Saccharomyces cerevisiae S288C: one gene and its partners. The main gene of each other region encodes a partner of the protein of the gene in region 3 in a complex. Each region holds a gene or a part of one and is shown on either strand. Other genes may lie near its edges. The genes, in order: DCC1, POL2, CTF18 and RFC5. A codon is read from its position in the direction of its gene.

Region 1 (3,676 bases), on a different chromosome or scaffold from region 3:
AATATCGGTATGCGTTTCCAGAGAGAAGTTGTCGTCTAACTTCACGCCTGCTGCAGGAGGGGAATAGAATCTCCTGCTTACCAAACAAGCCCTATATGTGGCCGCTGGAACGTTGTAAACTTGAGATAATCTTGTTATCGATCTTGTAGCAGTTGATTTCAACATCTTCCAGTTGTAGCAGTTCCTTCGTGTATGCGATATATTTTAATGAAAATGATGTATCTGAAATAGAAAATATAACACACTAATGAACTCTGTCGGTCTTTACTCTGAGTGAGTTACTTAGATAGTCATCATATATCCCTGGGCGATGGCCTTACTATTTGTCAGCGACCGTATCTAAAATTGGTAGGTCACTATCAACTATTGCGGGTAATAGGGTGCATAATAGTATTGTAATATATATAAATATATAAAGCTACTATGATAGATATTTGTTGCTATTCACGTCATCCACTATTACTTTAGTGGTTCCGCTATATATTCGCATTGCCCATCGAAGGCAGTTTTGTGTGCTACCTGCTCGTGACCACGGTCTTTTTGCCCAGTCTTTTACGGCGGGCATACTTCATGATGAAACTGTCTATTTTCATACCTCTTGAATTTAGTTCTTCAATTAGAGGCTTGATATCCTCCAAGTCCCACTGTGACTGTAGCCTAAACAGGACTTTAAACCGTTCTTTGGGGTCCATTGGTAGTGTGCTTTTCGCTATATACTGGACAGTCTTATCGGTAGGCTTGAAATGATAGCCTCGCAGCATGTCAATGTCAATGTCACATGGGAAGAAAGGTGGGAAAAGGGACTTCCACTTGATGAGGAACTCATCAATTGGCATGCTTATTCCAGAAACATATTTCCTTAGCGCTTGAATCCCGTACCACTGAGCTATAAACGGTATTCTCAAGCGCCACGTATTGTTTTCAGCCTCTTGCTCTTGAACAGCAAATTTATTCAGCACTGTTTCAATGATTTCTCTTGTGTATGGATTGAACTCGTCCTCAATGTCCTTCCCCACAGCGTGATGTGTATCCTCAACATTCAGATGCTGTAGATCGAGTGATTCTGCCATTGCGCTCATCAGTAGTACATGCAGTGCTTTGAAAAGGAAGTCTTGTGAAAGAATACACAACACACCGTCTTTCACAGATCCACCAATCTTATGCCATTTTGATATACCTTCTAGCGCAGAACATGGTGAGTTCTCAAGTAGTTCTTCCAGGGTCCCGATAACCTTTGTAGATGACCTCTTCATGATTTTGTCGGAGAAATCCAGTTCTCCGTTGTATATTGGTACTGAATTCAAGTTCAATTCGCCATGTGTCTCTCTGGTCTCAAATTCTGATTCAGTCTTGGCGAATCCCACGACGTCCATGTACGGCTTGGACAGTCCAAACAAGAGCGTTTCGTCGAAAGTAATAGGTTGTTCAGGAACAAATTCTCTCATTAGTAGAACTGTGTTTGAATGTTTGCGCTGCTTCAGCACCCAAGTCTTGTCGTGCGAACACAGTACAACTTCAGACTTGTCTTTGTCCAATGACTTAAACCTTAACTGGTGATTTTGAACCGGATCCTGTATTATATCCAGTAACTCTGGTGTCAACTGGATCAGCTTATAAGATGGATCATACTCGGGTGCGGAATGTAGGTTGATGGACATGGTACAGGATTATTAGTGAGCAAATCTCTGGTGGATTTTTACCGTTCATCTCATAGTGCTTTTTTAGTTTATTTTTCACTTTTTTCTGGTTATACTATACGCTGCCTACTGAAGCAATAAGCAAGAAACACAACAGTATAAAGGGACAAAGATAATAAACCGCCTACTACTAAATAATATCGCTGTGGTATGCTACTCCTAGAGATTTCGATCACCATCGTGGTGCTCTTTGTCATACGCATAGAATTGACAAAAAAGAACCCTAAGCTATAAATTAGGTCATGTTGAGCGATTGCCAGTTGCCAAGACCTAGGGTTTTGTTCGAACAATTCTAAAAAGGTAAATAAAAACAATGGTAAACAAAGGCTTTGATCTTCAATGAGGAAGATTTCTCTCACTGCGGATAGTAAAAACAACACTAGTTTGTCTGTACTCGCATTCTACTGCTGCTACCTGCTACTCATTACGTGTTCGGGCTGTTATCTGGTTGCTAAAAGAGTATATTTACACCTCACCAATGGAGAAAGACCTGTCGTCTCTTTACTCTGAAAAGAAAGACAAAGAGAACGATGAAACCTTATTTAACATCAAACTATCCAAATCTGTTGTCGAGACCACACCGCTAAATGGTCATTCATTGTTTGATGATGATAAATCACTTTCAGACTGGACGGATAATGTGTTCACTCAATCAGTATTCTATCACGGGTCAGATGACTTGATATGGGGGAAGTTCTTTGTCTGCGTGTACAAGTCCCCCAACAGCAATAAGTTGAACGCTATAATATTCGACAAATTAGGAACATCATGCTTCGAATCCGTCGATATATCTTCCAACTCGCAATACTATCCGGCCATTGAGAATTTGAGTCCAAGTGATCAGGAAAGCAATGTTAAGAAATGCATTGCTGTCATTCTGTTACAGCGCTATCCATTACTTTCACCATCAGACTTATCACAAATATTGTCCAATAAATCGGAAAATTGCGACTATGACCCCCCTTATGCTGGAGATTTGGCTAGTAGTTGCCAGTTGATAACAGCAGTTCCTCCAGAAGATCTGGGGAAGCGCTTCTTTACATCAGGACTTCTGCAAAATAGATTTGTCAGCTCTACCCTGTTAGATGTTATTTATGAAAACAATGAATCCACCATCGAACTAAATAATAGGTTGGTATTCCATCTGGGTGAACAACTTGAACAACTTTTTAACCCAGTCACAGAATACTCACCGGAACAGACAGAATATGGTTATAAGGCGCCAGAGGACGAATTACCCACAGAATCGGATGATGATCTTGTCAAGGCCATTTGCAACGAGTTATTACAACTACAAACAAATTTTACTTTCAATTTGGTAGAATTTTTGCAAAAATTCCTGATCGCCTTGAGAGTCAGAGTACTCAATGAAGAAATTAATGGGTTATCCACAACCAAATTAAATCGACTCTTCCCACCTACAATAGATGAAGTCACAAGAATCAATTGTATTTTTCTAGACTCGCTAAAGACAGCAATCCCTTACGGTTCCCTCGAAGTACTGAAGGCATGCAGCATTACTATTCCTTATTTCTACAAAGCATATACAAGACACGAGGCGGCCACAAAGAACTTCAGCAAAGATATTAAATTGTTTATTAGGCATTTCAGCAATGTAATTCCAGAAAGAGAGGTCTACACGGAAATGAAAATCGAGAGTATAATTAAGGGACCTCAGGAAAAACTACTGAAGCTAAAGTTAATTATAGAGAGATTGTGGAAGTCGAAAAAATGGAGACCGAAAAATCAAGAAATGGCAAAAAAATGCTACAACAATATCATTGATGTCATTGATTCGTTTGGAAAATTAGATTCCCCACTTCATTCTTATAGTACCAGAGTATTTACTCCATCGGGAAAAATCCTTACAGAATTAGCCAAATGCTGGCCCGTAGAACTGCAATACAAATGGCTGAAGAGAAGGGTAGTCGGTGTGTATGATGTAGTGGATTTGAATGATGAAAATAAGAGAAATTTAT
Region 2 (7,862 bases), on a different chromosome or scaffold from region 3:
CATTGTCAAGGTCATTGAGATTTTCTGGTAATTTCAGATCATCATCTTGAAAATGTCGTAAGACAGCTCTATATTTTTCGTTTTGATCTTCGGAGATGGGTTCCAGTAGAGGTGCGTTACCATACTTGGCAGGAGGGTCCAAGAATATCTTATCACATGGAATAAGTTTCTCTTTAGGCACAGCAGGCGTATGGTCCCGTTTTCTTGAAAAAAGACCCATTTTTGTTCTTCTTCTTGTGCTTTCTTTGTGTGATTTTTCAGGGTCTTTTTTTTTAAACAATGATGTAAATTAAATCTATCTAAAAAGCGTGATTTTTCCCACGAATTTTAATCCCTCTATTGTTCTCTTTCCACTCCATATTGAGTGAAAGGAAAAATAAGAAAAGTAAATAGAAAATTTATGACGTAGGAATAAAAGTATATAAGTATTTAACAAATTGACCGTAGATAATAATAATGCGCATGAAATTAAATCCTCTCTTTGATCTCTTCAATCAAGATCAACCCATTAACCACATTAGAACATTTTGCCAAATGAAGCCATAGACGAATAGGAAGTAATTGCACTTCTTGACGGTCGATTTGCTGATGGAAACGTGTATATCATCGTCTTCAGCACCGGAGCGGCTTAGTAAATTGAACTTGACGGATCTTAGTAGGAATACGCCAAAGGCAATAAATAAGTAAAATTTTATCAAAATATTCAGGTTAAATGGCATGGTCACGTTGGTCAAAAGCTGGGCGAGAATCAATGGAACAAATTTGTAGCCGACATAGCACAACAGTTCGACCAAACTGAAGCTTGGAATCTTAGAATCGATCAAAAGATACAAGCCAAGCTTCAAAATCAACAAATCTAAACACACAAACGCCAGAGTAGAAGACAGTTTGTAGTACAAGTCTTCGGGGTTGAATGAACCCTTCAGACCTTGCTGCGTATTCCAGATGAGAATATAGGTAACTAGTCCCATAATAGGCATGTACATGTCTGGGGAGTTCACGTCATCCCTTGGTGGCAAAAAGTTGCCAGAGTCCATAATTCGTTGCCAGTTCTTGGTTCCGTTAAGAAAAGGAACTAGGATGAGTTTCAATTTATTGATGACATAACGGGTGCTGACTTGAAAATACGTTGAAATTTGTTGAGAGCCGGCAGCGTTTGCAGTGGCTTTATTGACCGTTTCTTGAAACTGGTTAAAGTTATCCTGACCAATAAAATTAGAAAATGCGCTCTGCCCTAGTTGGAATGCCATCGAACCACGAGGATCTTGGAATGGAAAACCACCGCCACTGCCATTTACGTTTGCATTCATATTCGCATTACCTTGGCCATTCACGGGCGTGTTCCTCGGAATTTGCATTGGTCGTTGCTGTTGTGGAGTGTGGGAAAAGCGATCGTTAACGCCATTCTGCTCACTTGTTGCATATGCGTACGGATTATAAGACATCTTGGTATGGGCCTTTGGTTTTCGTTTTCTGCTATTGATACTCAGTAGCGAGGTCTTACAATCGAAAAGTCAAAAAGATGAGTTGTAGTATAAAACAACAGCTCTGGTGTGCAATATGGATCTTGATACAGAGTCTCGGATATGCTGTTTTAGCACTGAGAAAAAGTAATAGTAACACTGTCAGTGTTCGTCAAAGGCCCAAGTTTATTGTCATTTGAATTGTCAGAATGGTTTATTTTCAGGTAGGGTAACCAGAACGCGTAAGTTTCTTGCATCTTTTACCATTTTAACTGGAAGAGGACCTATCAAAAAGAGCATATGATGATGAAAGAGCACATTCTATCAAGATAACACTCTCAGGGGACAAGTATATGATGTTTGGCAAGAAAAAAAACAACGGAGGATCTTCCACTGCAAGATATTCAGCTGGCAACAAGTACAACACACTCTCAAATAATTATGCGCTTAGCGCGCAACAGCTCTTAAATGCTAGTAAGATCGATGACATCGATTCGATGATGGGATTTGAAAGATACGTACCGCCGCAATACAATGGCAGGTTTGATGCGAAGGATATAGATCAGATTCCAGGCCGCGTAGGGTGGCTGACGAACATGCACGCAACGCTGGTCTCTCAGGAAACCTTATCCAGTGGTAGTAATGGCGGCGGCAATTCGAATGACGGAGAACGTGTAACGACCAACCAAGGTATTTCCGGAGTTGACTTCTACTTTTTAGATGAAGAGGGTGGGAGCTTCAAGTCGACAGTTGTCTATGACCCATACTTCTTTATTGCGTGTAACGATGAATCAAGAGTAAATGATGTGGAGGAACTAGTGAAAAAATATCTGGAATCTTGTCTCAAAAGCTTACAAATCATTAGAAAGGAAGATCTTACCATGGACAATCACCTTTTAGGGCTGCAGAAGACACTTATTAAGTTATCATTTGTAAATTCCAATCAGTTATTCGAGGCCAGGAAACTCCTGAGGCCAATCTTGCAGGATAATGCCAATAATAATGTGCAAAGAAATATATATAACGTTGCTGCAAATGGCTCGGAAAAAGTTGACGCCAAACATCTGATCGAAGATATCAGGGAATATGATGTGCCGTATCATGTCCGAGTATCTATAGACAAGGACATTAGAGTCGGTAAATGGTATAAGGTAACTCAACAGGGATTCATTGAAGATACTAGGAAAATTGCATTTGCCGACCCTGTGGTAATGGCATTTGATATAGAAACCACGAAGCCGCCTTTAAAATTCCCGGATTCCGCCGTAGATCAAATAATGATGATTTCGTATATGATCGATGGGGAAGGTTTTTTGATAACAAATAGGGAGATAATCTCTGAGGATATTGAAGACTTTGAGTATACACCGAAACCGGAGTATCCTGGTTTTTTCACCATATTTAACGAAAACGATGAAGTGGCGCTTCTACAAAGGTTTTTTGAACATATAAGAGATGTACGACCCACTGTTATATCCACCTTCAATGGTGACTTTTTCGATTGGCCTTTTATACATAACAGAAGTAAGATTCACGGCTTGGACATGTTCGATGAAATTGGTTTCGCTCCAGATGCTGAAGGTGAGTACAAGTCCTCATACTGCTCTCACATGGATTGTTTCCGTTGGGTGAAGCGTGATTCTTATTTACCACAAGGTTCCCAGGGTTTAAAAGCTGTTACTCAATCTAAGCTAGGTTATAACCCAATTGAACTGGATCCCGAATTAATGACGCCGTATGCATTTGAAAAGCCACAGCACCTTTCCGAATATTCTGTTTCCGATGCAGTCGCTACGTATTACCTTTACATGAAATATGTTCATCCTTTTATCTTTTCCCTTTGTACTATTATTCCTTTGAACCCGGATGAAACATTGAGAAAGGGTACCGGTACTTTGTGTGAAATGTTGTTGATGGTTCAAGCTTATCAACATAATATTCTTCTACCAAATAAGCATACAGATCCCATTGAGAGGTTCTATGATGGACATCTTCTAGAATCCGAGACTTACGTGGGTGGACATGTGGAGTCATTAGAAGCTGGTGTTTTTAGGAGTGATTTGAAGAATGAATTCAAGATAGATCCTTCTGCCATTGATGAATTATTACAAGAATTACCAGAAGCTTTGAAATTTAGTGTGGAAGTTGAAAATAAGTCCAGTGTAGATAAAGTAACGAATTTTGAGGAAATAAAAAACCAGATAACGCAGAAATTATTAGAGTTGAAGGAAAACAATATAAGAAACGAACTACCTTTGATCTATCATGTAGATGTCGCCTCTATGTACCCAAACATCATGACTACAAATAGACTACAACCAGATAGTATCAAAGCAGAGCGCGATTGTGCTAGTTGCGATTTTAATAGACCCGGAAAAACCTGTGCAAGAAAGTTAAAATGGGCTTGGAGAGGAGAATTCTTTCCCAGTAAGATGGATGAGTATAACATGATCAAGCGTGCATTACAAAATGAGACTTTTCCCAACAAAAACAAGTTTTCTAAAAAGAAAGTTTTGACATTTGATGAACTAAGTTACGCAGACCAAGTTATCCACATAAAAAAACGTTTAACTGAATATTCAAGGAAAGTTTATCATAGGGTTAAAGTATCAGAAATTGTCGAACGAGAAGCCATTGTCTGCCAAAGAGAAAATCCATTCTACGTCGATACCGTGAAATCCTTTCGTGATAGGCGTTACGAATTCAAAGGTTTAGCCAAGACTTGGAAGGGAAATCTGTCCAAAATTGACCCATCTGATAAGCATGCGAGAGACGAGGCCAAAAAGATGATTGTGCTTTATGACTCATTACAATTAGCTCACAAAGTTATTTTGAATTCGTTTTATGGGTATGTTATGAGGAAAGGCTCTCGTTGGTATTCCATGGAAATGGCGGGGATTACGTGTTTAACAGGTGCCACGATCATTCAAATGGCGAGAGCTTTAGTAGAAAGGGTAGGAAGACCATTAGAATTAGATACTGATGGTATTTGGTGTATCTTACCAAAATCTTTCCCTGAAACTTACTTTTTTACATTAGAAAATGGTAAAAAGCTTTATCTCTCCTACCCATGTTCCATGCTGAATTACAGAGTTCACCAAAAGTTTACGAATCACCAATACCAAGAATTAAAAGACCCATTGAACTATATATATGAGACGCACAGTGAAAACACGATTTTTTTCGAAGTTGACGGACCATATAAGGCCATGATTTTGCCTAGTTCCAAGGAAGAAGGAAAAGGTATAAAGAAAAGATATGCTGTCTTCAATGAAGACGGCTCACTTGCTGAACTGAAAGGTTTTGAATTGAAGAGGCGTGGTGAATTACAACTAATAAAAAATTTTCAAAGTGATATTTTCAAGGTCTTTTTGGAAGGTGATACATTAGAAGGATGTTACAGTGCTGTAGCAAGCGTATGTAACCGTTGGTTAGATGTTCTTGATTCACATGGTCTTATGTTAGAAGATGAAGACTTGGTCAGTTTGATTTGTGAAAATAGAAGTATGTCAAAAACTTTAAAGGAATATGAAGGGCAAAAATCTACTTCTATTACGACGGCAAGGAGATTGGGGGATTTTTTGGGTGAAGATATGGTAAAAGATAAAGGTCTACAATGTAAATATATTATTAGTTCAAAACCTTTCAATGCACCTGTTACTGAACGAGCCATTCCAGTCGCAATATTTTCAGCGGACATTCCCATCAAAAGGTCTTTTCTGAGGCGATGGACATTAGATCCATCTTTGGAAGATCTGGATATCAGAACCATAATCGATTGGGGTTATTATAGAGAAAGACTTGGATCTGCTATACAAAAGATAATTACTATTCCAGCAGCATTACAAGGGGTTTCCAATCCTGTTCCAAGGGTTGAACATCCAGATTGGCTAAAAAGAAAAATCGCTACAAAGGAGGATAAGTTTAAGCAGACTTCACTAACCAAATTTTTTTCGAAGACAAAGAATGTACCAACAATGGGCAAGATAAAAGATATCGAGGATTTGTTTGAACCAACTGTAGAAGAAGATAACGCCAAAATTAAAATTGCAAGAACTACTAAAAAGAAAGCCGTATCCAAGAGGAAAAGAAATCAGCTTACAAATGAAGAAGATCCACTAGTATTGCCCTCGGAGATTCCTTCCATGGACGAGGACTATGTTGGGTGGCTAAATTATCAAAAAATTAAATGGAAAATCCAAGCAAGAGATAGAAAGCGTCGAGACCAATTATTTGGTAATACAAACAGCTCCCGTGAAAGAAGTGCACTAGGAAGTATGATTAGGAAGCAAGCTGAATCATATGCGAACTCCACTTGGGAGGTCTTACAATACAAGGATTCCGGTGAGCCAGGGGTTTTGGAAGTATTTGTAACAATTAATGGCAAAGTCCAGAACATCACCTTCCATATACCAAAAACTATTTATATGAAATTCAAATCTCAAACAATGCCGCTACAAAAGATTAAGAATTGCCTTATTGAAAAATCTTCTGCATCGTTACCAAATAATCCCAAAACGTCTAATCCAGCAGGCGGTCAGCTATTCAAAATTACTCTACCGGAATCTGTCTTTCTGGAAGAAAAGGAAAACTGCACTAGTATCTTCAACGATGAAAATGTACTTGGTGTATTTGAGGGCACTATCACTCCTCATCAAAGAGCGATCATGGATTTGGGAGCTTCGGTAACGTTCCGCTCAAAAGCAATGGGTGCGTTAGGCAAGGGAATACAGCAGGGTTTTGAAATGAAGGATCTTTCAATGGCGGAAAATGAAAGGTATCTGAGTGGATTTTCAATGGACATTGGCTATTTACTACATTTCCCAACATCAATTGGGTATGAATTTTTTTCATTATTCAAGTCATGGGGAGATACTATTACTATATTAGTTTTGAAACCATCCAACCAGGCTCAGGAAATAAATGCCTCATCATTAGGACAAATATACAAACAAATGTTTGAAAAAAAGAAAGGTAAAATAGAAACATATTCTTACTTGGTTGATATTAAAGAAGATATCAATTTTGAGTTTGTATATTTTACAGATATCTCAAAATTGTACAGAAGACTATCACAGGAAACTACTAAATTAAAAGAAGAAAGAGGTCTGCAGTTTTTACTCTTGTTACAATCTCCGTTTATCACTAAGCTCTTAGGCACAATCCGGCTTCTAAACCAGATGCCCATTGTTAAGCTTTCCTTGAATGAAGTTCTTCTACCCCAATTGAACTGGCAACCGACATTATTGAAGAAACTTGTTAACCACGTTTTATCCAGTGGTTCGTGGATTTCTCACTTGATCAAGTTATCCCAGTATAGTAACATTCCAATCTGTAATTTGAGGCTGGATAGTATGGATTATATTATTGATGTTCTTTATGCAAGAAAACTAAAAAAAGAGAACATCGTGCTTTGGTGGAATGAGAAAGCTCCACTTCCAGATCATGGAGGCATTCAAAATGATTTTGATTTAAATACATCATGGATAATGAATGATTCAGAATTTCCCAAAATTAATAACTCAGGTGTGTATGACAATGTAGTTCTCGATGTTGGTGTTGATAATTTAACAGTGAACACAATTTTGACATCAGCATTAATCAATGATGCTGAAGGCAGTGATCTAGTTAACAATAATATGGGTATAGATGACAAAGATGCCGTTATTAACTCGCCATCTGAATTCGTGCACGACGCCTTTTCTAATGACGCTTTGAATGTTTTAAGAGGTATGTTAAAGGAGTGGTGGGATGAGGCCCTAAAAGAAAATTCAACCGCAGATTTGTTGGTAAATTCCCTGGCAAGTTGGGTTCAAAACCCGAATGCGAAACTATTCGACGGATTACTAAGATATCACGTTCATAACTTAACAAAAAAAGCCTTACTTCAATTAGTAAATGAATTTAGTGCACTTGGCTCAACTATTGTATATGCAGACAGGAATCAAATTCTAATAAAGACAAACAAGTACTCACCTGAAAACTGTTACGCCTACAGCCAATATATGATGAAGGCAGTTAGAACAAATCCAATGTTTAGTTATCTGGACTTAAATATCAAACGTTATTGGGATCTGCTAATATGGATGGATAAGTTTAATTTTAGTGGATTAGCATGTATTGAAATAGAGGAAAAGGAAAATCAGGATTATACCGCTGTTTCGCAATGGCAACTAAAGAAGTTTCTGTCACCAATATATCAGCCCGAATTTGAGGATTGGATGATGATCATATTGGATAGTATGCTAAAGACAAAGCAGAGCTATCTAAAATTGAATTCAGGGACGCAAAGACCTACCCAAATAGTTAATGTAAAAAAACAAGATAAGGAAGATAGTGTTGAAAACTCGTTGAACGGATTTTCTCACCTTTTTTCCAAACCACTAATGAAAAGAGTCA
Region 3 (4,364 bases):
TATTAGGTCTTTTAGTTGACTCTTCTCTACCAAAATCAAATTATCTGTCCTCCTCGTAAACTTATGAATTTCATCTTTAGATCGTTTTACTTCTAGGATCGCCCTATCTGTTTTGGTTATATGCACTTTACTACTTTTTTGGCCCATTCGATATATACAAAAGCACCAAGTGGAGTTAATTCAGCAGTCTGTACTATTTTTCCAAACTATCTATGTTTTGTTCTTTTCTATGCGCTATATTGTATCCCACAGATAGTAATTCGATTTTCGGTCTTTCTGCTCTTCGGGGTTCCATTTATGTAGAAATAAGAACGATAGCGAAGAGGGTAAAAGATCACGAATAAAAAACGAACGCTGCGTGACAAAATCGGAGCTGTTGCGACTACCGGCAGGATTGATTGCTAATGTTCTTTATTTACTTCTTTTAGATTTCTATGTAAGCTGCTGGTCCATATACAAGTATGCTTCTTAAGAGAGACTGCGTATATATCTTACGTCATTTATTCCCACAGGTTATTCCAAGTCACATTTTTCCTGACAGCGTTAGAGAACCCCTCATTGTATTTCACCCATATTTTAACCGTTTGATTGCAGTCATCTGCTTGGTTGGTTTCGTCTGATCCAATAGTTTTTTGTGTCTCTTCCAATTCCTGAGTTTGCTTCAATAATCCGTACTGATTCTTGAAAAAGTCGATTGTACTTGAGGAAGAATTTAACCCAGTTTTGACTTTTTTGCTATGCATTTCCTGTGACTGTAGTCTATCCTCAGTCACTTGGTCTATATGCCTTTTCTTGGCCCGGTTTTCCTCAATCTTTGCTAACAGTGAACTCAAATTATTAGCCCGTTTATGTTGGACTTCGTTAATATGTTTAGGATTTAACAATACGACTTCATCGATTGGGGGATCGATTGTTAGGCCACCCCTTACATCAAATCCTTCTGACCGATTTTGGATTAGATTCAGTTGAAAGCTTTTCAGCAATTGAACTAATTCCTCCATGATGGCTTGTTTGAGTTTCAGGTTCCTTATTTTATTAAAATCGGAAGAGATCATCGAATCTAGATATGGTAGTATTTCAAAGATTAACGATTTTCTATCCGTAAAACTTGCCATTAGTGGGGACTGAACCGAGATATGTCTCATAATCAGACTAACTATATCTGAATTGGCTCGTTTTAATTCACGTTGTTCGTATTCACTATTCTTCATTCTAATATCATCTTTGTTTGCGATATCGCCAAACGTTTGGAAGAAGACTAGGGGCACAAGGGCGGAGTAACGTAACAATTCGCCATTATGCGCATACATTGATTGGTACATTAAATCATGGAAAAATAGCCAATCTGAAATGTTTGCTGGCTTTCTTATACCATTGTCGGAATATTTTACGTAGGGAAATATATTAAAACAGCCTTGCAATATCCTGTCAGAGTTACCATTAAGCTCTACTTGGTTTAGCAATTCATAAAACTGCTCCTTTATATCACGATGTGGATCCTTTCTAAACAATTGGTTCACGATTTTAAACCATGATATGGGGGAGTCCTTGTTGGATGACGCCCACGTATTTTTTGCACAAGCAGGTTTATCTGATGCAGAGGAATCTCTTGAATCAACATTCGAGGCCAAGAATTGTAAATTGTTTATACAATTCCTTACGTCACCTTGAGCCAAATCAATTAAGTCATTGATTGCTTTTATAGGAATATTCATGTTTTCTTTATGGCAGATAAGGTTCAATCGCTCTAGTAGGGTAGTATCGGAAGGTCTTTTCACAGCAATAATTTCACAGAATGGTTTCAGCTTTTCCAAAGAAGGAGCATATAGATTATTGCAAATACAAATAATAGGTCGCGTAAGCAATTTAGACCTTTTCTTTTTGCGCTTTTTGTCCTTTTTATCTGGTTGACCGTATAATAGTTTATTAGTGGCTTTAATATCGCTTTGCATAATGTCAACTAAAATTCTAATAAATCCACTCTCAATACTTCCATCAATCTCATCCGCCACTAAGCACACAGGATTTGTATCGAAAGTATGATTGAATAAAAGATTATATATTTTCTCTTTTACCATAGGTCCAGCCCTTTCATCACTTGCATTGATTTCTGAGACAGAAAACCCTGATTGTTTGGCAATAACGTGAGCTACTGAGGTTTTGCCTATTCCTGGTGGCCCGTGCAGTAGTAAAATTTTCTTTGGTGGCCTTTTCAATGGATCGAGTTCCATATCACTGACCTCTTTTTCGGTTGGCAATTTGGGTAATTGCTCTTTAAACACAGCCGGCGTCCATTGTCTCAACCAACCTAACATTCTCCTGTTTGTCTTTTCATTACCAACCAAATCTAGAAATTTTTTAGGACGCCATTTCTCTACCCAGAGTGTGTCGCTACCTATCTTGCCAGTTATAGGTGAAGTCTTTTGTGCGTTAGTGCGGTCATCGCCAGATGCCTCAATTTTGTCTAACAAATAGTTTATATTGATGCCGTACGTGTCGTCTGATCTCCAAACAGTATCTGGGTTAGTGTATAGACTAATATTCCCGGTTGCTAACTTCGCAGGCTTCTTCTTTAATTGAACCGTTTCGCCAGTACTTGATACAAACGCGTGAATATCTTCCTCATTAATACCAATTGCATTATTACCAGGGGCTTGTTCTATATCACCAGTATCAAAAAGGGAACTTCTCCCTAGTGAACCAATGTATGGTGCGGTATCAACCATGATCCCTGACCTTACATCCACCTTTTGGGTCAAATAGTGTACACATTAGGAATAAAATATATGAAATCATGTTTATTTACGTGTTAGATGTTCCGTACAACGCGACTGGCTAGTTCGTTTTTTCCACATTTTTTTTTTCAACGTTGATCAACAATAAAATGGTACATCTTCCTTTGTTTGTGTCTTAAGTGTCCTTTCCTGGTATATCGCTTGACCAGCGCCTGTAGCATCAAACCAAACCTTCATCGCCCTAAAACACAATGGTTACAGTATGTTGTTGCTTTTATTTACTTTTTCTTTTTTTGACATTCATTGTGACAATATTCACATTCTTCAGATAGTTCTGTCTATATGAAGCAAAAATGATATATCAATAAGTTTACTAACAAACACAAGTGGTATTACTATGACTTCACTTTAAATAGCAACAAGAAAAGGAATTTTTAGAATCCTACCCTCAAAACTGTCCTCCAGATGCCTTGCCTGGTACTCCAGGAAATTTAGACAGCGCTCAAGAGAAGGCATTGGCAGAACTAAGAAAACTTTTGGAAGACGCTGGTTTCATTGAACGTTTAGACGATTCAACTTTACTACGTTTTTTGAGAGCCAGAAAATTTGATGTTCAATTGGCTAAAGAAATGTTTGAAAACTGCGAAAAATGGAGGAAGGATTATGGTACCGACACTATCTTGCAAGATTTTCATTATGATGAAAAACCATTGATTGCCAAATTCTACCCACAATATTATCATAAAACCGATAAAGATGGCCGCCCAGTATATTTTGAAGAATTAGGTGCTGTTAACTTACATGAAATGAACAAGGTTACCTCTGAAGAGAGGATGTTGAAAAACTTGGTTTGGGAATACGAATCTGTCGTTCAATACAGATTACCTGCCTGTTCAAGAGCTGCTGGTCACCTAGTGGAAACTTCATGTACAATTATGGATTTGAAAGGTATCTCCATATCTAGTGCATACAGTGTTATGTCATATGTTAGGGAAGCCTCCTACATAAGTCAAAACTATTACCCCGAACGTATGGGTAAATTTTACATCATCAACGCGCCATTCGGTTTCTCTACCGCATTTAGGCTATTTAAACCTTTCTTGGATCCAGTCACTGTTTCAAAGATTTTTATCTTGGGTTCTTCTTACCAGAAGGAATTATTAAAGCAAATTCCAGCTGAAAACTTACCAGTCAAATTTGGCGGTAAGTCTGAAGTTGATGAATCCAAGGGTGGGTTATACCTATCCGATATCGGTCCATGGAGGGATCCAAAGTATATTGGACCGGAAGGTGAAGCTCCGGAAGCCTTTTCGATGAAATGATATTATTTTTAAAGACATTTTTTTTTCGAGAGAGAAAAGAGGAGTTCTAAGTAACGATATTTTACAACTGAGATAAGTACAAGTATGCTTATTTACTCTATTCTACTTTTTTGAATAGGCATAGTTCACACTTTTATCTCCTTAGTTTGTACTACTCTTTTTTTATTTTTTTTTTTTCTTCCACTCAGCTATTAGATTATTTATTATTTTATTATCTGTGGTATCATTTTCTACAGCCATACCTTGATTTTAGTTTATTTTGTTGGCAGTTATATACATTTATCTTATAGAATACATATGCACGTAT
Region 4 (3,515 bases), on a different chromosome or scaffold from region 3:
TCTAAAATTGTTCGTGACTTGTCCCAATTGAGTGATTCTATTAATATCATGATCACCAAAGAAACAATAAAGTTTGTAGCTGACGGTGATATCGGATCAGGTTCAGTCATAATAAAACCATTCGTGGATATGGAACATCCTGAAACAAGCATCAAACTTGAAATGGATCAACCTGTCGACTTGACGTTCGGAGCTAAATATTTATTGGACATCATTAAGGGCTCCTCCCTTTCTGATAGAGTTGGTATCAGGCTCTCCAGCGAAGCTCCTGCTTTATTCCAATTTGATTTGAAGAGTGGGTTCCTACAGTTTTTCTTGGCTCCTAAATTTAATGACGAAGAATAAATGTAAATTATCTATATAGTTGTATACTAAAAATAATAAACAAAAAAAAAACAGTAAAGTTTGTTTTAAATGAAAATAAATAACAAAGAAAATAAAGACTAAGATGCGTTAAATATCAGCTTTTTGTGTGACTTATACAGTATTTATGACATATCTTACATTAATCTAGACAGCACATAACTTTTGCTATGAACCCTTCCAAATGGAATATTGCTTTGTTTCCAAGTGATAATCTTTCGTCAAAAACACTTGAGTATTCAATTATGGACGATTTATTCGTGGTATTCAGGGTTTCCACATCCAACAAAGAAAACGTTAGTTCCTTTAAGATGATATTGGCAGGTATACAATGAGCTAGTAAATCGTATAGGACAGCTCTGCATTCGATTAAAGAATTGACAGATCTCTCTTTAACGATTTTCCTCGTTAATTTATGGATCACTATAATCCAATCTGGTTTTATTATAGGGCTACTGCTTTTCAATGCTAATTCGTTGTTCAGTGCCATAGATTCAAGCATTAATAGGGAGACTCGCAAGTTTCCATTCGATGCCTGAGCAATTCTTTTTAAAATATCCTTTGTTTCTAGTTGTATTCTTTCATTTGTCACCACATCAGACAAGATAGTTGAAATTTCGCTATCGCTTGGTGCAGGACAACGAATCAACAGACAACGGGATTTGATAGGAGCAATTATAGGCGACATCGAATCGCAGACCATTATCAACCTAATGTTTTTGGAGTATTTTTCCATGGTACGTCTTAAAGCAGCTTGAGCATCTTTTGTTAACGAGTTCGCCTCGTTGATAATAACACACTTATATCTATGGGCAAGTCCATCCTTAGAATCTTGAAAGTCCACTTGTTCCATTTGAGCCACTTCTTTCAATAGTTCTTGGATGACAATTCTATCATTGTTACCCATATCACTTGGCGTGATCTCTAAATGGTATGGCGAGCTGACCACATTCAGTTCTAGTTTTCTGTTCGAAGCAGTGACAAATTGTCTGACATCAATTTTCAATCTATAGACTCCAGGTCCAAATATGGACTCCAATAATGCCATACAACGCGTTTTCTTACCTGTACCATTTGGTCCATACAGTAAAAGATGAGGTAAATCACGAGGCTGATCAGATAACGATTTTAGAAAATTTGTCAACTCTTCATTATGTGAAAGAGCATTCAAGGACTTAGGTCTGTATTTATCTACCCACAATGACATGTTTGTGCTGTACTAATCTATAATTTCCATGAACCATCATACAAATGAAAAGTCTATTTTATGTTCCAAGGAATAAAAAATCGCGTTAAAATATTCAAGAGGCGACACCGCAGTGCTTCTAGAAAAGATTCCTCAACACGGTGTACATATGCATAGACTCGATACATAAATTTGACTACAGCATCTTACATAAATTTACAAAACTATTTTATTTCTGACTCCAAGATCCTAAAACAGCACGAAGCATATTATTGCGCATAATTTGTTCTTGTAGGATCTTTTCTTGACATTTTTTTTCACTCTGCGAGAAACTTCTCTTTTTTTTTCCTTCTAGGGACGAAAACAAACAAGGGCACTTTTTTTTATCTTTTTTTTTTCTCTGTTGTTTTCAAAACAAAAAGATTCCACCACTACATCAGTGTGAAAGACTGTAAAAGCTTTCTGATAAATAAGCACTTTCCATATTTTTCAACTGAAAAATAGTTTTCTTTTTGCAGCTATTATTGACTTCATTAAGAAATATCCCTTTTTTCCCCGTTGCAATTATTTCTATAAGGGAAGCTGGAAATAGGGGGCTGGAAAAGATATTTGAACAGTCGCTCCAATAACCGTTCTCACCATCATTAACATTTTTGAAGGTGAATACTGTTTCGGTCGATTTATGGCTAATTTGTCAAATACATTTGAAAAAGATTAAAACAAGCACAAGCGGTTGAGCATACTATGTCGCAGACAATTACATCTCTAGATCCGAATTGTGTTATTGTATTCAATAAAACTTCGAGTGCAAACGAGAAGAGTTTGAATGTCGAATTCAAACGTTTGAATATACATTCTATTATCGAACCTGGCCATGATCTGCAAACAAGCTATGCGTTTATTAGAATCCATCAGGATAATGCGAAACCGCTTTTTTCATTTTTGCAGAATCTGGACTTCATTGAATCCATCATACCATATCATGATACTGAATTGTCCGATGATTTGCATAAACTGATTTCTATCAGCAAATCAAAAATACTGGAGGCTCCAAAACAGTATGAGTTGTACAACCTATCGAATTTGACCAATAATCCCAAACAATCCTTATATTTTGCATTCTTACAGAACTATATAAAATGGTTGATTCCCTTCTCCTTTTTTGGATTATCAATTAGATTTTTATCTAATTTTACGTATGAATTCAATTCCACATACTCGCTGTTCGCCATCCTATGGACATTGTCATTTACAGCCTTTTGGCTTTATAAATATGAACCATTTTGGTCTGATAGACTGAGTAAATACTCATCATTTTCTACCATTGAGTTTCTTCAAGATAAACAGAAAGCCCAAAAAAAAGCTAGTTCGGTTATCATGTTGAAGAAATGTTGTTTTATTCCTGTGGCTTTGTTGTTTGGCGCAATATTACTATCATTCCAGCTATATTGTTTTGCGTTGGAAATTTTCATCAAGCAAATTTATAACGGCCCAATGATTTCCATCTTGTCTTTTTTGCCTACTATACTTATTTGCACGTTTACTCCGGTTTTAACTGTGATTTACAACAAATATTTCGTAGAACCAATGACAAAGTGGGAAAATCATAGCAGTGTTGTGAATGCAAAGAAATCTAAAGAAGCTAAGAACTTTGTTATTATTTTTCTATCCAGTTACGTTCCCCTATTAATTACACTATTTCTTTATCTGCCAATGGGGCATTTGTTGACCGCAGAAATAAGAACTAAGGTTTTCAATGCCTTTTCAATATTGGCCCGTTTACCTACCCATGATTCAGATTTTATTATTGATACAAAGCGCTATGAAGATCAATTTTTCTACTTTATTGTTATCAACCAACTGATTCAATTTAGCATGGAAAACTTTGTTCCAAGCCTTGTTAGCATTGCTCAGCAGAAAATTAATGGACCAAATCCTAACTTTGTCAAAGCTGAGAGTGAAATCG

Evidence for each region.
Region 1: the proteins of CTF18 (region 3) and DCC1 are in contact, whole or in part, in a crystal structure (PDB 5MSM), measured with the Saccharomyces cerevisiae proteins. Residues at the interface, in NP_013795.1 of Saccharomyces cerevisiae: Asn723 (codon at 560), Gly725 (codon at 554), Phe726 (codon at 551), Ser727 (codon at 548), Asn728 (codon at 545), Ala729 (codon at 542), Val730 (codon at 539), Arg731 (codon at 536), Lys732 (codon at 533), Asn733 (codon at 530), Val734 (codon at 527), Thr735 (codon at 524), Trp736 (codon at 521), Asn737 (codon at 518), Asn738 (codon at 515), Leu739 (codon at 512); in NP_009913.2 of Saccharomyces cerevisiae: Lys16 (codon at 1,613), Phe39 (codon at 1,544), Lys40 (codon at 1,541), Ser41 (codon at 1,538), Asp43 (codon at 1,532), Lys44 (codon at 1,529), Asp45 (codon at 1,526), Lys46 (codon at 1,523), Ser47 (codon at 1,520), Glu48 (codon at 1,517), Val49 (codon at 1,514), Leu60 (codon at 1,481), Lys61 (codon at 1,478), Gln62 (codon at 1,475), Arg63 (codon at 1,472), Lys64 (codon at 1,469), His65 (codon at 1,466), Ser66 (codon at 1,463), Asn67 (codon at 1,460), Phe108 (codon at 1,337), Glu109 (codon at 1,334), Arg111 (codon at 1,328).
Region 2: the proteins of CTF18 (region 3) and POL2 are in contact, whole or in part, in a cryo-EM structure (PDB 6S2F), measured with the Saccharomyces cerevisiae proteins. Residues at the interface, in NP_013795.1 of Saccharomyces cerevisiae: Lys717 (codon at 578), Trp719 (codon at 572), Val720 (codon at 569), Lys721 (codon at 566), Gly725 (codon at 554), Phe726 (codon at 551), Ser727 (codon at 548), Asn728 (codon at 545), Ala729 (codon at 542), Val730 (codon at 539), Arg731 (codon at 536), Lys732 (codon at 533), Asn733 (codon at 530); in NP_014137.1 of Saccharomyces cerevisiae: Glu333 (codon at 2,813), Asp334 (codon at 2,816), Phe335 (codon at 2,819), Glu336 (codon at 2,822), Tyr337 (codon at 2,825), Thr338 (codon at 2,828), Asn450 (codon at 3,164), Ile452 (codon at 3,170), Gln468 (codon at 3,218), Glu472 (codon at 3,230), Val475 (codon at 3,239), Glu1038 (codon at 4,928), Asp1039 (codon at 4,931), Glu1040 (codon at 4,934).
Region 4: the proteins of CTF18 (region 3) and RFC5 are in contact, whole or in part, in a cryo-EM structure (PDB 8TW7), measured with the Saccharomyces cerevisiae proteins. Residues at the interface, in NP_013795.1 of Saccharomyces cerevisiae: Asp433 (codon at 1,430), Leu436 (codon at 1,421), Phe440 (codon at 1,409), Pro444 (codon at 1,397), Tyr445 (codon at 1,394), Tyr448 (codon at 1,385), Asp450 (codon at 1,379), Gly452 (codon at 1,373), Ile453 (codon at 1,370), Arg454 (codon at 1,367), Pro456 (codon at 1,361), Ala457 (codon at 1,358), Ser460 (codon at 1,349), Asp461 (codon at 1,346), Leu463 (codon at 1,340), Phe464 (codon at 1,337), Asp467 (codon at 1,328), Gln471 (codon at 1,316), Ser509 (codon at 1,202), Glu510 (codon at 1,199), Gln513 (codon at 1,190), Leu516 (codon at 1,181), Asn520 (codon at 1,169), Ser521 (codon at 1,166), Val524 (codon at 1,157), Ser532 (codon at 1,133), Val533 (codon at 1,130), Pro536 (codon at 1,121), Leu537 (codon at 1,118), Met538 (codon at 1,115); in NP_009644.3 of Saccharomyces cerevisiae: Trp4 (codon at 1,561), Asp6 (codon at 1,555), Lys7 (codon at 1,552), Arg9 (codon at 1,546), Lys11 (codon at 1,540), Lys50 (codon at 1,423), Met54 (codon at 1,411), Tyr66 (codon at 1,375), Leu68 (codon at 1,369), Ile70 (codon at 1,363), Glu95 (codon at 1,288), Asn141 (codon at 1,150), Glu209 (codon at 946), Leu235 (codon at 868), Met236 (codon at 865), Glu238 (codon at 859), Ser239 (codon at 856), Leu242 (codon at 847), Glu245 (codon at 838), Leu246 (codon at 835), Ile255 (codon at 808), Lys256 (codon at 805), Pro257 (codon at 802), Asp258 (codon at 799), Trp259 (codon at 796), Val262 (codon at 787), Val276 (codon at 745), Leu279 (codon at 736), Ile280 (codon at 733), Tyr287 (codon at 712).

Annotation. Positions count from the first base shown.
Region 1 is NC_001135.5:94,106-97,781, forward strand, and holds DCC1 (Dcc1p), read right to left. Parts: upstream 1,659-3,676; coding exon 516-1,658; downstream 1-515. Other genes in the region: NFS1 (cysteine desulfurase), read right to left, coding at 1-165; BUD3 (Bud3p), read left to right, coding at 2,176-3,676. UniProt on the Saccharomyces cerevisiae protein: Component of the RFC-like complex CTF18-RFC which is required for efficient establishment of chromosome cohesion during S-phase and may load or unload POL30/PCNA.
Region 2 is NC_001146.8:146,396-154,257, forward strand, and holds the start of POL2 (DNA polymerase epsilon catalytic subunit), read left to right. Parts: upstream 1-1,816; coding exon 1,817-7,862. Other genes in the region: PDR17 (phosphatidylinositol transporter), read right to left, coding at 1-220; protein transporter YIF1, read right to left, coding at 501-1,445. UniProt on the Saccharomyces cerevisiae protein: Catalytic component of the DNA polymerase epsilon complex which participates in chromosomal DNA replication.
Region 3 is NC_001145.3:422,003-426,366, forward strand, and holds CTF18 (Ctf18p), read right to left. Parts: upstream 2,727-4,364; coding exon 501-2,726; downstream 1-500. Other genes in the region: ESCRT-III subunit protein VPS20, read right to left, coding at 1-147; phosphatidylinositol/phosphatidylcholine transfer protein SEC14, read left to right, coding at 2,987-2,995, 3,152-4,057. UniProt on the Saccharomyces cerevisiae protein: Essential for the fidelity of chromosome transmission. Required for the DNA replication block checkpoint.
Region 4 is NC_001134.8:421,820-425,334, reverse strand, and holds RFC5 (replication factor C subunit 5), read right to left. Parts: upstream 1,571-3,515; coding exon 506-1,570; downstream 1-505. Other genes in the region: POL30 (proliferating cell nuclear antigen), read left to right, coding at 1-345; IST2 (Ist2p), read left to right, coding at 2,294-3,515. UniProt on the Saccharomyces cerevisiae protein: Component of ATP-dependent clamp loader (RFC and RFC-like) complexes for DNA clamps, such as the POL30/PCNA homotrimer and the checkpoint clamp DDC1:MEC3:RAD17 complex.